2 linked regions of the Sus scrofa genome follow. The protein of the gene in region 1 purifies or fractionates together with the protein of each later gene. This does not show direct contact. Links are inferred from orthologs where the notes say so. Each region holds a gene or a part of one and is shown on either strand. Other genes may lie near its edges.

Evidence for each region.
Region 2: the proteins of AXIN1 (region 1) and DVL3 purify together in Homo sapiens (affinity purification with western blotting; 3 studies listed by BioGRID and IntAct, with this or other methods). This does not show direct contact. The link is inferred for Sus scrofa from reciprocal best matches to the Homo sapiens genes AXIN1 and DVL3.

Annotation. Positions count from the first base shown.
Region 1 is NC_010445.4:41,381,425-41,389,288, reverse strand, and holds part of AXIN1 (axin-1), read right to left. Parts: intron 7,199-7,864; coding exon 7,061-7,198; intron 3,397-7,060; coding exon 2,870-3,396; intron 2,398-2,869; coding exon 2,227-2,397; intron 34-2,226; coding exon 1-33. UniProt on the Homo sapiens protein: Component of the beta-catenin destruction complex required for regulating CTNNB1 levels through phosphorylation and ubiquitination, and modulating Wnt-signaling.
Region 2 is NC_010455.5:122,086,586-122,093,584, reverse strand, and holds the end of DVL3 (segment polarity protein dishevelled homolog DVL-3), read right to left. Parts: intron 3,833-6,999; coding exon 3,617-3,832; intron 3,518-3,616; coding exon 3,081-3,517; 3' UTR 2,966-3,080; downstream 1-2,965. UniProt on the Homo sapiens protein: Involved in the signal transduction pathway mediated by multiple Wnt genes.

The sequences.
Region 1 (7,864 bases):
TCATGGGCCTGCTGCTTCTTTGCCCCAGACGACCTGCGGGGTCAGAGAGAAGATGAGGCAGCTGCCTAAGCCCGTGCCCCGGCCTCCAGCACGCCCGGCACACAGCGCGTTCCCGACACCGGTTTCCTACTGGGTTTAAGAGCGTTACTGAACTGTAAACTGCATCCCATGCAAACACCGTCCCCTCCTGCCTCCTGCATGCGGGAAAGTCGATGAAAAAACAAATCAATTTGGAAATTGCCACTCTTGGAATATTTAGTGTATTTCTTTCCTTGTTAAAAATACTTCACCGGGGGGTGCCCGTCGTGGCGCAGTGGTTAACGAATCCGACTAAAAACCATGAGGTGGCGGGTTCGATCCCTGGCCTCTCTCAGTGGGTGAAGGATCCGGCGTTGCCGTGAGCTGTGGTGTAGGTTGCAGACGCAGCTCGGATCCCGTGTTGCTGTGGCTCTGGCGTAGGCCGGTGGATGCAGCTCCGATTCGACCCCTAGCCTGGGAACCTCCATATGCCACGGGAGCAGCCCCAGAAAGGGCAAAAAGACAAAAAAAAAAAAACTTCACCGGGCAGTGCCTGTCGTGGCTCAATGGTTAACGAACCCGACTAGCATCTTTAAGGACGCTGGTTCGATCCCTGGCCTCGCTCACTGGGTTAAGGATCTGGTGTTGACGTGAGCTGTGGTGGAGGCCGGCAGCTGTGGTGGAGGCCGGCAGCTGTGGTGGAGGCCGGCAGCTGTGGCTCCAATTCGCTACAGCTGGGAAATTCCTGGGACCTTCCATAGGCCGCAAGTGCGGCCCTCAAACAAAAGGGCCCCCCCAAAAACCCCCGACATAGTTGACATAATTCTGCACCTATCAATTCCCTGATTTTCCCTCAACGTGCTGCCCATTCTCCTTTATCAGACACTGAGAACAGGCTGCACCTGGGTGACCGGCCCTTGCTCGCCCACTAGGGGGATCTGAGGGGAAACAGCGGCTTCTCTGAGCTGAGCCCGGAGGCCTCGGAAAGCAAGCTTAGCACCGGGAGCAAAAACCAGAGAATCCCGGAGTTCCCGTCGTGGCTCAGAGGGTGACAAACCCGACTAGTATCCATGAGGTTGCGGGTTCGATCCCTGGCCTCGCCCAGTGGGTGAAGGATCCGGCGTTACCCTGAGCTGTGATGAAGCTTGCAGATGCGGCTCGGATCCTGTGTTGCTGCGGCTGTGCCGTAGGCCGGTGGCTACAGCTCCGATTGGACCCCTAGCCTGGGAACCTCCATGTGTGTGGCCCTAAAAAGACAAAAGACAAAAAAAAAAAAAGAGAATCCCAGGAAGGGGCCGCCAGTGCCCCTGTGACACCAAAACCGCCTCAGGCTGGGGGCGGACTCCAAAAAGCCCCACAGGAAGCCCAGCCCCTGGCCCTGGCTCCTTGCTCCTCCCTCCCCGCCCAGGGCCATTGGTCCCCACGCTGCCACCCCCCAGGTCCACAGCCACGCAGAGGGCAGGAGGCTGCCGAAGCCGGGAGACCCTTCCACTCCTGCTCTGTCCCCTAGAAACTCTCCATGCAGTAGGCGCTGCGAGGACAGAGCCACCCCTGGTGAACATCAGAGGCTGAGAATCCACCCCACCCAACCCCACGAGGAGGGGCTCCCAGAGTGGGCCCCCGAGCAGCACGGCTGCAAAGCGTCTGGACACTGGCAGAGGGCTCATTTCCAGGTCGCCTGCAGGCAAGATCAGGGACCCCGGGTCCAACTCGCCTGCCTCATGCACCACTGAGGCCTCCCCAGCCGTGCCCGGGAGGGCAGAGGGCATCTGCCTGTGGGAGTCGGATGGCCTGCCCACCAAGGGGAGACTCCAGCAGCCTCGGGCCCCCATCCCCCCCGTGATGGGGACGGGGGTGACACCGAGACTGACCACACAGAGCCCAGAGGATCAAAGAGCAGATGAGAACCGGCCCCCAGCTGCCAGGGATAAGCAGGTCAGACCCGGAAGGCATCCAGGTGGCAGCAGCCCCTGCCTGGCAGGCCTCGAGGTAGGTGGGTGGCAGCGGGGACAGACATTGAAGCTCCCTGACGATCCCGCCCCCACAGGAAGGCACCACCCTAAGGCTACCACGGACCGGGCCCCATTCTACAGGTTTCTCGTGTCCACGGCCCGTGGCCCGTGGCTAGACCAGCTGGTCAGGTTGCTGGCAGGGGGCCCCCCTCAGCTGTGCCCTCTCACCCAGGCCCCCTCGGCCACGCCCCCTCACCCATGCCCAGCCTTCCGGTGCCTGCTGATCTCCTTCTCGCCCTCGATGATCCACTGCATGATCTTCTGGTTCTTCTCCGCATCCTCGGAGGGGCCCGGTGCCTCTGCGCTGGCACTCCTCCCTGACTCGGCCTTCTTGGCGCTTCTTTTGGAGGTCATGCCTGCCTTGCCGCTGCAAGAGCAAGACCCGGGCCACCGCTGCCGTCCGCTGGCCTGCTGCTGCTGCGAGCCGTATGGTGGGGGGAGGGGGACCCAAAGGGCAGAGGCCTCGACAGCGCCGCGGGCTGGATGCGACGGCGGGGAGGGAAGGAAGGGTCCAGCAGCACCGTCTGGGAGGGCTGGAGCCAAGGTGGTAGCAGCCAGGGCCCGGCCACCTCCTCACCCAGGCAGGCCCTCGGCACTGGGCGCATCTGATCCCACCACACTCGAGGCGGAAGCCCAGGGATCAGGACGCCCGGGCACACGGGTTTAATGCAGCCTCTGGGGCTGACCTCAGTTTAAGGACTGTTACAGGGGAATCCGGCGTGGACCCTGGCACAGGGTCCACAGGACACACGGCCTCAGGCCTCGAGCCGACACCGACACGGGACGACGTGAGCACAGCCCTGGCCTGTCCCCACGTGCGGGCTGCCGCAGACACCCACCTGTAGGCCAGGCTGTCACCGGTGTTGAGAGGGGTCCCCAGGCTCTCCAAGTGGCTGCGGGGCTTGGCCGCGTGGCCGTGCAGCTCCGGGCCCCATGCGAAGCTGCTCTGGACCCGGCGGGAGGCCTCGGCCTCGGCCGGCTCCTTGGGCCTGGCGGCACCATGGTGGCCATGGTGGTGGCTGTGTCTGTGGAGGTGCAGGCCAGCTGCGTCGAGCTTCACCCCCAACTTGGGCGCGTGCTTTCCGTGTCCGGGCACCGCGGCCCCCAGCACCCCGATCTTGGGCATGTGCGAGTTCTCCGGGGAGCGGTGGCCGGGTCCTGGCGACTGGCAGCCCGGTGTCCGCATGACCCGCTGCACGTGCTCGTCCAGGATGCTCTCGGGGTTCTCCTCGTGCGCGTCCCGCAGCCCCACGCAGCCCACGTCCGCGTAGCGCGCTGGGAAGTGGTGCCAGGCCGGGGCCGCAGGCAGCTTGTGACTGGCCCCTGGGGGGGCAGAGGACACATCACCACCTTCGCCTTCCTCCTCCTGTGGGGACAAGGCTGCGCGTCACCTCTTGGCACTGCCCACACCGTAGAAGTCCCACACCTGAGGAGACAAACACCAGACCAGCAGAGGCCAGGACTAGGCGGGGCCAGGCCAGGGTCCCTCGCATGCGGCAGGGCTGTGGGTGGGCTGCGCGGCAGGAGGGCGCCCAGGAGGGGCACGAAGCCACAGGCCCAGAAGCCCGCCAGGAAGCTGGGCCCTGCCTCTGCTTTCTCCGATGCCTCAATAAAAACTGCACTGTTTTTGAGTTTTCCTACTCCTCAATCTCACGGCCGTATCTTCCATCATGCCCATCGACAGATGAGCTCTTTTTCGTCTTTTTTTAAAAGGGCCGCACTCGGGGCACATGGAGCTTCCCCGGCTAAGGGTCCAATCGGAGCTACAGCTGCTGGCCTACAGCACAGCCACAGCCACGCCGGATCCTTAACCCGCTGAGCGAGGCCAGGGATCGAACCCCCAACCTCATGGTTCCTAGTCGGATGCGTTTCCGCTGCGCCACGATGGGAACTCCAATTCTCACCCTGAGCCAGTGGTTTCCCTGGACTCAAACAGTGACCACACCCATATCTGTACACAGGAATGTGTGATTGCTGTAATTCCTGAAGGGACACCTGTTTGGGATTCCTGTCTCGCGGGCTCGCCCCCACCAGCATGCGGAGTGAGACGGTCACGACTGAGAGACCGGGAGACAAAGCCGCCCTGGATGAGCACGAACAGGTCTCCACAGGTCTACCGCCCAGCTCCTCGGCCCTGCACAGCGGCAGCGTGTCACGTGGACGAGCCGCCAAAGAGGACAGATGGGGAGAGGGGCACGGACCCAGGGGACGCGCACCTCACGGGCGTGGCTGGGAGTCGCCCCAGCAGAGACCCGACCAGTGTCTCCGTCCCAGCCCCACGCTCTGCAGGGATGAGGGGCTGGGGGCCCCGGGAAACTGTTGGCCAGGCCTTGGTGGCCTGGGCGCTGCTGACGCCGACTGCCCTGAAAGGCCAGGGAGCCACGGGGAGCTTCTGGACGCCTGGGGACCCGAGCTCCAGCCTCCTTAACAGCTCTGCGTGCACCGAAATTCCACCTGGGGTTTCAAAATGCCACAGGTTCACCTAACATTCAGCTGCTAATATTCTTTTTCTTTTTCTTTCTTTGTTTTTCCTGGCTTTTTAGGGCCGCGCCTGTGGCACATGGCGGTTCCCAGGCCAGGGGCTGAATCGGAGCTGCAGCTGCCGGCCTCCACCACCGCCACAGCCACACCACATCCGTCACCCACTGAGTGGGGCTGGGGCTCAAACCCGAGTCCTCATGGACACTAGGTGGGTTCATTACTGCTAAACCACCACGAGAACCCCCATTTTCTTTTACTTTTATTTTCCAGATTTTACAATGAAAATAAGTCATTTAAAAATGCGTAGTTATTCCTCTTAGAAGAGAAATCTCTTTCCCAGTACAACTCACCTAAGTTACAATCGCACCCGCTAACAAACCTGAGATGGCGCTGCCAGCTGTAGGGACCCCAACCCGAGGCCCCCACACGAAGCCCACCTGAGATGGAGGCCCTGCGCCCTCCTCCTGCTTCCTGAACTGACCCTGGAGAAATGCAGGGCTGCTCGTTTACACGCTGCCAAATGAGAGAACAGCACCCCGTCTGCCCTCGCCTGCCGGGACGCCACAGAGTCTCAGACTCAGATGTCAGACACACAGGCTCAGGAGCTCCTACTGTGGTGCAATGGCTTAAGACCCTGACTGCGGCTGCTCAGGATGCTACGGAGGCACGGGTTCGAACCCCGGCCCGGTGCGGTGAGAGACAGGATCTGATGATGCCACAGCTGCTGTGTATGGCCTGGCTGTGGCTCAGATCTGATCCCTGGCCCAGGAACTTCATGTGCCATGGTGCGGCCATAAAAACAAAACAAAAAAGAAGTGCCTGCTCCAACCTACGGCCACAACTGCCTGGGGAAGGCGGAGGTCCCCCTGCAACGCTGACCTGCCGGGACCACGAGGACACACAGCCCTGGAGCCGAGACCAAAACCTGGACCACACTAGCTCAACTCTACAGCGCAAAGGCAGCAGCCGCGTGCCTGCTCACACTTCCTCCACACGGCGATGCACGTTAGTGCCCAAGCACGTTTGTTTTCAGAGCACGAAAGCCTCTCTCTCACAGAGGCCGTGCCCCGGACCTGCTGCCAGAGCAGGAGGATGCGGCCTCGCCACACGCGAGCACCTGGGCCTCTCAGAGACCCCGCTCTGCGCACCAGAGGCCTGTCGGGGCTGCCGCCGGGCCCCTCCCCACTGACATGTGGTCCCCGACCCCAGCTGTCCTTCAGCTCCTGGAGGGGTCCGAGGGCTCCAAACAAGAGCAGCCTGGGAGGGCACGACGGCAGCGACTGTGCCCCGCCAGCCACTCGCTCCCCAGCAGTGAGGCGACCCCGGGGGCGGTGGGGAGCAGAGCCCTCTCGGCCTGGCCAAGTCGCCCGACGGGAGGGAGCTAGAGGCCGCATGTGCACACGCGCACCCGAGCACCTTCGCGCTCCTGCTCTCTCCGGGCTGCAGGGGTCACTGGGTACATGGGATGAATCTGGGTTCTGACACGCTACCGGACACCTGCCTGTCATCTGCACGTGGGAGGAAGGGGGCGAGCTGGGCGCAACGCGAGAGCCCTGGAGCCCCAGACAGCAGCTGCGGGGCACAGGCAGGCGCCAGAGAAGAGCGCCAGGGGTGACCACCTGCCAAACCCATGACAGCGCCTCCACACGGCCCACCTGGGACACGGCAGCGTGGAACAGCAGGGCGCTGGCCAACAGGGCTTGAGGGGCTCAGGGTCTGCATCTTATCTATTTTTACTATTATTATTGTTATTATTTTTTCTTTTTAGGGCCACACTCACAGCACACAGAGGTTGCCAGGCTAGGGGTCAAATTGGAGCTGTAGCTGCTGGCCACAGCCACAGCCACAGCCACAGCCACAGCCACGCGGGATCCGAGCCACATCTGTGACCTACACCATGGTTCATGGCAGCGTCAGATCCTTAACCCACTGAGTGAGCCCAGGGATCAAACCCGCAACCTCATGGTTCCTAGTCGGATTCGTTAACTACTGCGCCTTGACGGGAACTCCCCGCATCTTAAATCCAAGAGCCAGTGTCTGGGTTGAGAAATAAATCCTTCAAGAAACATCGCATTTCTGAGTTTCAGGTACTGGACAAAATATCCAGAAGAGACGGATCCCTCTAAGCGGAGGGCCCAAGCCCCGAGGCCGCGGGCCCAGGAGGGACGGCCCAGTGAGGGGGGTGAGGGGCACGCCCGCCACAGCCGCCTCCGTTCAGAGGCCTCGCATGTGTGGAAAGCGGGCGTCCAGCAGAAGGACCCCAGGGCAACAGAAGCAACTAGAGGCAGACAGGTACTCAGGCAAACACGTCACCGATATCGTGAACCTTCTCAGCATCCAACGTCCCATCAAGTGAGGCTACGGTCAGAAAACTAGACAAAACAGAACCTGCGTCCAGACTCCACGGGGCTCGAGGAGCACCGGGAGCCGAGCAGGACGCAGCCGGCACAGGAGCGCGCCAGACCTGTCCCCAGGCCGGGCCAGCGGAGCTCCGGCAGGGCCACAGGTGCCCTGGGCGCAAGCAGGCGGCCCCGCCAGGGCCCACTCACCATCCGCACGCGCTTCAGCCGCTCCTCCAGCTTCTCCTCCGCCTCCCGCGTCCGCTGGACGGCCTCCAGGCGGTGGATGAGCTCTGCGGCGAACTTCTGGGGCTCCACGCGGACTTCCTTTGGCATTCGGTAGGTGCGCTGCAAGGGGACACCGCCGGTGAGGTGGCCGCCACCCTGGAGAAGCGTTGCTCGAGCACCGCCCAGGCCGGGACTCGGGACAGGACCCAGGGCAGCCGAGGGCTCCAGGCTGGGCGAGGGGCAGAGAGCCCCAAGGAGCGGGACCGGCTGCCCCCAGCAGTGGCCACCCTGTACCCCAGGGGGGGCTCAGGTGTGCACGGATGAGGGACACGAAATTCTGGGTCCCAGCGGGTTGGGACCGAGGCAGGATGACGCAGGGCTCCTTCTTTCAGGGACGGCAGCTTTACCTACACTCCGCAGCGGTCCACTGCATGGCTTTTGGGGAGGGGGAGCTTGAAGGCAAAATAATTTCAAATCCAAAACACGAGCAAGAGCCCCTCAGCGTCACCTGCCACGCTGCTGTCACTCTGTCCCCTAGGCACGCCACACGCACACCCCCCCTTCTGAGCCAGGAGAGAACACTGCACATGGGACGCCTGTTACTTCCTCAGCACTTCAGGACGAATGTGACCAAAACCAAGGACGCTCCTCTACCTAACCCAGCACGACTGATTTCAAAAAAAGGATCCTGATACCACGTTATCTAATCACTGCTCTCATTCCGACCTCACCGGCTGCCCAATAACGTCCTTTCTAGAAACATGTGTTTAAAGACATCGAAGCCAC
Region 2 (6,999 bases), on another chromosome or scaffold:
CCAAAGTAGTAGGAGGCAAATATTTGAAAGAAACTAGTTAAAGCTTTATGAAAATATGTCATATTCTACCTCAGTTATACCTATGTGACTGTGAGCTCAAGACCAGGAAATGTATGCCTTCTAGTGACAGGCATATATGTTGTTCAGAAAACCATTGGTGACTTGAATTTAATTGGACGTGGGATTTGAAATCCCTTCTCTGATGAACAGAGTTAATCTTCACATGCAAGCTGAGGAGACAGGGCCAACCCTGGCATTTATGGGACCTGAAGAAAATCAGCTGGCTCTTCTCTTTCTGTAGAGAGAGATACCCTGCTGCCTTCCATAGGCAGGGCTGAGCCCATCATGAGAGGAAGGAAGGGCAAGAAAAGGCAAACCAGTTGCAAACCTTACTGTTCCTAGTATCCTCTTGGTAGAAGCCAGAATATGGTAGGATGAAGATCTGGCTTCTCTCAAATCGGGGTCACAGACTGAAGCCATTAAGTGACTGAATACTGTAATTCTTGAACCATCACTCAAGGTTTCACTTCTACCTTTCCAAAAGCTTTGTCCTCAATACATACCCTAAAGTCTTATCAATTTAGAGTAAATAATAATGATGATGATAATAATAACAATAGCTACCATTTATTGAGCACCTATTCTACTGTGTGCCAGGCACTGTGCTAGGCACTTTTCGTACAATATCTAATTAAATCCTCACAACAACCCTGTGAGGTAGGTATTATTATTGTCACTTTACATATGAGGAAACTGAGGCTCAGAGAGATTAAATAACTCTCCTATCACGCAACCAAAAAGTAGTAGAGTTGGGATTCAAACCCAGAATAACCTGACTCCAAATCCCATGCTCCTGTGAACTAGAATAGAGGCAGAGGGGAGAGGAAGGGACAAATTCAAGAAAGATTGCTGGAGAGGAATGGATATGATATACTGACTAGTAAGGTATGGGAAGGAATTTAAGCCCATAAATATTTCTAGCTGGTGAGCCTATGTAGAGTGTGATGAAGGTAACCAGGATTGGAATTCAGGAGGAACACACTTGGGTGGGGGAGAGGGATGAATTGGATCCTTATGGCCATGACCATGGAGAGGTCCAGTAGGTGATAAAAATACAGATCTAAAAATAGAGGGAATTTAGAGATGGAGATATATATTTGGGAAACACCAGCATATCACTGGCAGTTGAGGACATCAGGATGGATGACACCATTTTGGGAGTGAGGAAAGAGAAGTGGATCAAAGATAGAATACAAGGACCCTGAAGGTGTGAGCAGTGGTGGAGGAATCCTCAAGAGTTGGAAACAGAAGAATTGGAGGAGGAAGAGTACAAGAGGCAGCCCTATGGGGTGGCTAAGGAAAACATAGTCTGGATTGGGAGCAAACCTAGAGCTCCCAGGAGGAAGGCAAAACTGAGTCACACTTCTAACACAACCCTATGCACCAAAACCCCCAGGGAATGTTTGTTAAATGAATGAATGCCCAAACACCCCTACCCTGGTTTGCCCCAAAGGCCAGAGCTTAGGACTTCATCTTACTCTTGACACCCCAATCCTAAAAATATGGAAGCCTAGGTGAGCCAGAATTTACAGAAGAGGCTTATAGAGAAAGTTGTGCTTTGCTTAAACAAAGGAATAAAGTAAAAAATAAAACTTGGCGCTCTGGAAGTCCCCCTGCCCAACCTTGCTCTGGGTCATCATGGTAACTGTGAAAACAGGGAAGGGTGTGTGGGGTAGAAAGCAGGGTGAGAACAGCTTGTCATTTGCCTGGGGAGTCCTCTGCTGAGCCCAACCTGAGATTCAGCTTGGGCTATTTATCCAGATAGGAAGATGATGGGGACATGTGTGGGAGGTTTGAGGGCTGTGGGGGGAAAGGAGAGGGAAGTCTGGGGACCAGCCCCACAACCTAGGAGGACTAGGAGAGGGTCCAGCCCTCCGGACAGGGACCAGCCCTGAGGCTTAAGAGAAGTTGCATAGGCACGTAGTAGGGGGGGGGGGGCCTACAAGGGAGAGGGAAAGGGAGAGGGAGAGAGAGAAGCAAAGAAAGAAGGAAAGAAAGAAACTCTGGAGAAAGGGGAACAGAGTCTCTTATACATAGGTGAGAGGCTGGGGTGCTCCTCAGAAGCTAGTGACTCAACATGTTGAAGTGTAGGTGTGGGGGCTGAATATCCTTGGGAAGCCCTGAGGGGCTGCTGAAGCAGGGTTCCTGGTCTCCTCGGAGGCTGGGCCTCCCCTCGCTGGGGGCTCACAGAAAGTCAAACAGCCCGAAATTCTTGGCTGCTCCAGGCCCAGGAAAAATTGAGGGAGGAAAAAAGAAAGAAAAGAAATGTTTCAGGCCCAGAGGTGAGATGAGTGTGCTGGTTAGTAGGGTTAGGGGTCTGAAGGAAGCAGGGCACAGGGCAAGCATGGGGCAAGGGTAGGTCTGGACATACAGCAGAGATGCTCCCTGGAATCCACGAGCAGCTCAGGCAACTGAAGGAAGGGCCCACTGGGCTTCTGCTAAGGTCAAGCGCAGGCAGGGATAGCATAGATGGTTATTGGAGGTGACTACAGCTCTAGGGTGCAGGGCTGAGGCAGCAGGTGGGGGGGAACAATTAGAAGGAAGGGTAGATGAAGCAAATCTCTTTTTGGTGTCAGTATTAAGGGGAAAAATCAAGAGACTGGCACACATGCTTGAGGGAATGGGGTTAACAGACGGGATGATACATATGAATGAATAGTGAAAAGGAATGAGGGGTATGCTGGCTCTCAAGGGCACTGTTGGGGTCAACTTCTGAAGTGTTGGGGGTGGGGGAAAGGAGCAGCACCAGCAAGTTGGGTCCCAGGGACTTGAAGGATCCTGGGGAAGTCTTGTACAGCGGTTAGTGGGCGGAGGGACAAGCTGGGGCGGCGGCAGGTTAGGGGTTGCAGTTGCGATCAGTGGGTGCACCTCGCCCTCGCTGCACCCAGCGAGCAGTTAGCGCGCCTGGATTTAGTTCCGTTTATTTCCCTTTCAGGTACCAGACAAAGTAAAAAAGACGGACTGAGAGAGGGATGCAGGCGGCCCGGGCAGGATGGGATGGAAATGGGGGAGGGGCCCTCTCACATCACATCCACAAAGAACTCACTGGGGTTTCCCATGGCCATGCGGAAGGACTGTCTGCTGGCGGTCAGTTCAGGGGGCACGGAGGCCAGGTCGCGGCCCGGAGGGGCTCCCGGGGGCCCCATGGCCGCAGGCGGTGGGGGCATCATCAGCATGGGGGGGCCGTAGAGAGGGGGCACGCCGGGGGGGCCGTAGCTCGGATGTGTGTGATGGCTGCGCAGGCTGCTGGCCAGCGAGTGGTGGCTGCGGTGGCTGTGCTCGCTGGTGGCAGGGCCCGAGCGCTCGCTGGGCGCGCGTTCCCGAGGCCCCCGCAGGCTGCTGCGGGTCGTGTGGTCCGACTCGCTGCCGCTGCCACCCGACTTTGAGTCCCCGGCCTTCTGGTCTTTCTCCTTCCGCCGGTCGCTGCCGCTGCGGTTGGAGCCACTGCTCCGGCTGCCTGTAGGGGACAGGCAGAGACGGGGTCGGGGGACACTCAGAGCTAGCAGAGGATGCCTAGGGCTCGCCTGTGCCCCCTCCATGGCCCGCACTGCCTTACCTTCACTGTGCTGACTGCTGGCGCTGCCCCCGCCATAGCTGTACCCCAGCTCTGGGAAGCCTGGGTGCGGATTGTAGGGGTGTGGGGGCGGCGGATACTGGTAAGGGAAAGCCATGGGCCAAGGAGCCGCCCCTGGGTGCGGCAGAGGGGCCAGAGTGTCCTGGTCAGAGGCACCGCTGGAGCCGTCATGATCGTGAAGGGAGAGGTTGGCCATGTCTGTGGAGCGGAGGGGAGAGGGGTAAGTTGGGTCTATTCCATGTGCCCGCACCCGTAGTGTGCAGACAGGTCCCCAGCCTAGGTCAGGTGGGTGCCTTTGGGAAGACAGCAACAGCAGTGGCAGTGTCTCACCAGAGGAAGGGCAGGCAAGAGATCTTTCACTCCTTCAGTTCCCCTCTGCCACATCCACCAGAGGTGGTGGGGAGGGAGACTCGGCAGAGACAGCCCCAGAGAAAATGTCCCTAGGAAGGCCCTGAGTCACCACTTTAGATGCTCAGTGCCAAATCCCAGTTCCCTGGAGGCTGGCTACCAAGCCTTTGGCAGTTTCTCCTCCTTCCTCAGTGGGCTGGAAGAAGAGGCAAAACCCTTACTTGGCAATTTCCTCTGTTCTCTTAGAGGGTAAAAGGTAGGGAGGGGAATGTGGGAGGCTGAAATACCAGACAGCCACCAGGTAATGCATACCTGCACTTCATCAGGCACAATACAAAGCATGCAAGTGTTACCACAACCCTATGAGGAGGGTTTTAGTCACGTTTTCTCCAGATGAGAAAAGTGAAGTCCACAAAGGTTAAATGATCAGCCTAAGTTCAACCCAAACCGTAGCCAGCGCAGAAGCTAAGAGCTGCTTACTGTTTCCTTACCTTTCCAGATGAAGGCATCAGTAAGGAGCAGGGAGCAGTTTGGGGAAATTTAGATGCAATTTTGCCCTCCCCTATTCACTTAAGACTAAAAAAATACCCATTAAAAGCCAGAAGGAACATAGGGCCTTTCAGAGCCTCCCCACACAGAAGGCCCTTGGCGTGGATCAGTTTTCTAGAGCTGCTGGGGAGGGTGGGAGTGAGGCAGAAGGGTCCAGAAAGAGAACAACTTAGGCTGTGCTCTCCACCCCATTCCCAGCCAGGCCTGTTCTTCACAGCACTTGAGTCAGTATATCGACATTATTTCTTTCCATGACTCTGGCTTACCCAGTAAATTGTGCACAGGCAAGGCCGCTCCCACCTATGTTGGGACTACTTGGGAAGAGAGTATAAGGGGTCATTATAACTGCCTGCCTGGGATACCCCTTGTTCATACTCCATCTGTGCCAGGTCTCTGAGCTCTGAGAGAGCTGTAATTACACTGGAGGCTAGCAGCTGGGTACAGACTGAGTCCTTTGTTCCAAGTCCTGAAGGGAGCTGACCCAACCTTACAGGGGACAAGAGGTCAGGAGAGGGGACTGAGGCAGCCTATGGAGTCTACCAGCCAAACTATCAACCTGTCAGGGTCAGCAGCTAGCGTGAGCAGTGGTGATGATCAGAAGCAGAGGCCTGCCTTGGTCACTACTTCAGCTGTCAAGCTGTCATCCCAAGGGGAGTGACTGTGTGTTCCTGGGGCTACCCAGGTCTCCAGCTCTTCCCTTTGAGTCTGCCATACTCCCAGCTGAGGATACTTCAGCCAGTGAGAACAAAAAGGCCTGTTCTGTCTGCATCTCCCTGAGCATGGCCTCTGGTGGACTTGGTCCATGGGCAGAAGACCCAGAATGCCCCTGGTATGGAACAGTGCCTTCTGAGCAAAAGCCACAGCTGTCCTGAGAAGCTTTATGTACCCCTGAAGGTTTGGGGACAGGGAAGACTTCTACTGGCCATGTCTGATCAAATTTAAGAAGCCAATAATTGCAAGATGCACCGCTATTTCAGAGATATTGAAATGTGAAAAAATGTTCAACTTATAATCAATTAAATACATGGTAAGTGGACAATTTTTTTTTTTTTTTTTTGCTTTTTAGGGCCACACCCACGGCATAAGGAGGTTCCCAGGCTAGGGATCGAATCGGAGCTGTAGCTGCCGGCCTGCGCTACAGCCACAGCAACACCAGATCCAAGCCACATCTGCAACCTACACCACAGCTCACGGCAACGCCAGATCCTTAACCCACTGAGTGAGGCCAGGGATGGAACCCGCAACCCCATGGTTCCTAGTTGGATTCATTAACCAAGTGGACAACTTTTTAAAGAGCACTTATTGTGGGCCAAACATGGTGCTAAAAGCATTACATACATTATCCTATATCATCCTCAAAACAGACCTATGAGATAGGTCTTACTGTTGTCTCCATCTTACAGACCAAGAAATTGATGCACTGAGAGCCTGTGTCACTTACCATGTTCATACGGCGAGGGTGGAGCTAAAATTTGAACTCAGAACTGTCTAATGCCAAAATCCTATGCATCTATCACTACTCCATGGGGCCATGCTGAAGCTGCTGAGGGCCAGGGACCCCATCCTCAGCCAGGGACTTGTGCTCCTCAGAAACAACCTTTCTCGTTTCTAGAACCTAATCTGAAATATTTTAAGAGTTAGCTTCTGGGAGTTCCCTGATGGCCTAGTGGGTTAAGGATCAGGCTTTGTCACTGCTGTGGTATGGGTGTGCTCTCTGGCCTTGGAACTTCTGCATGCTGCAGGCATGGCCAAAACAAAAAACAAAACAAAACAAAAGAGTTAGCTTTTGGATTCCAGCCAGCACCAGTGGGCTGAGAGAAGGTTGCTTCAGGCGGAGATGGTTGCTGGGGCTGGGTTTCAGCTCCCAATCCTGCGCACTGCTGTCCTGTTTTGAGGACTCTCCTTCCCAAGGGCAGTCCATAGGCTCAGGATAAGGGGAGTTCCCTGCAGACCTCTCCCATTTAATAACCCTCATTGGCTTTGCAATCGCTCAAGATCAAGTCCAAACTCCTCGGTACAGTTTGCAGAGTCCCTTACAACCTGGCCCTGACAGCTTTCCCAGCTTTAGCCCAAGGCAGAGCCCACCCTCAGGGGTCTGAGGAGGCTGTGGACTTGGGGCCTCAGGCCAGCTCCAGGTCCTGCCTTGGTGGAACCTTTTGGTGCTGTGAGGATTACCCAAGAAAATGCTTCTGCAGCACCACACACCTAGGACAACCTCAGACCATAGGAAGAATAAAAGCTCTGGAGCCAGAAAGTCAACTCAAGGCCTAGCTCCTTTGCTTCTAGCTGCGAAACCTGGGGTGGGTGGACTACTTAGCTTCTGTAAGTCTCATCAGTTTCCTCATCTTGAAACAGAGATAGTAATCCATGTGGGGAGGTTGTGAGGACTGACTGAGGGAGAGATGATGCTTTAGAAATAGTGAGCGCAGTGTGGGGCACGGAGCAGGCACTGAGAAAATGCCAGCCCC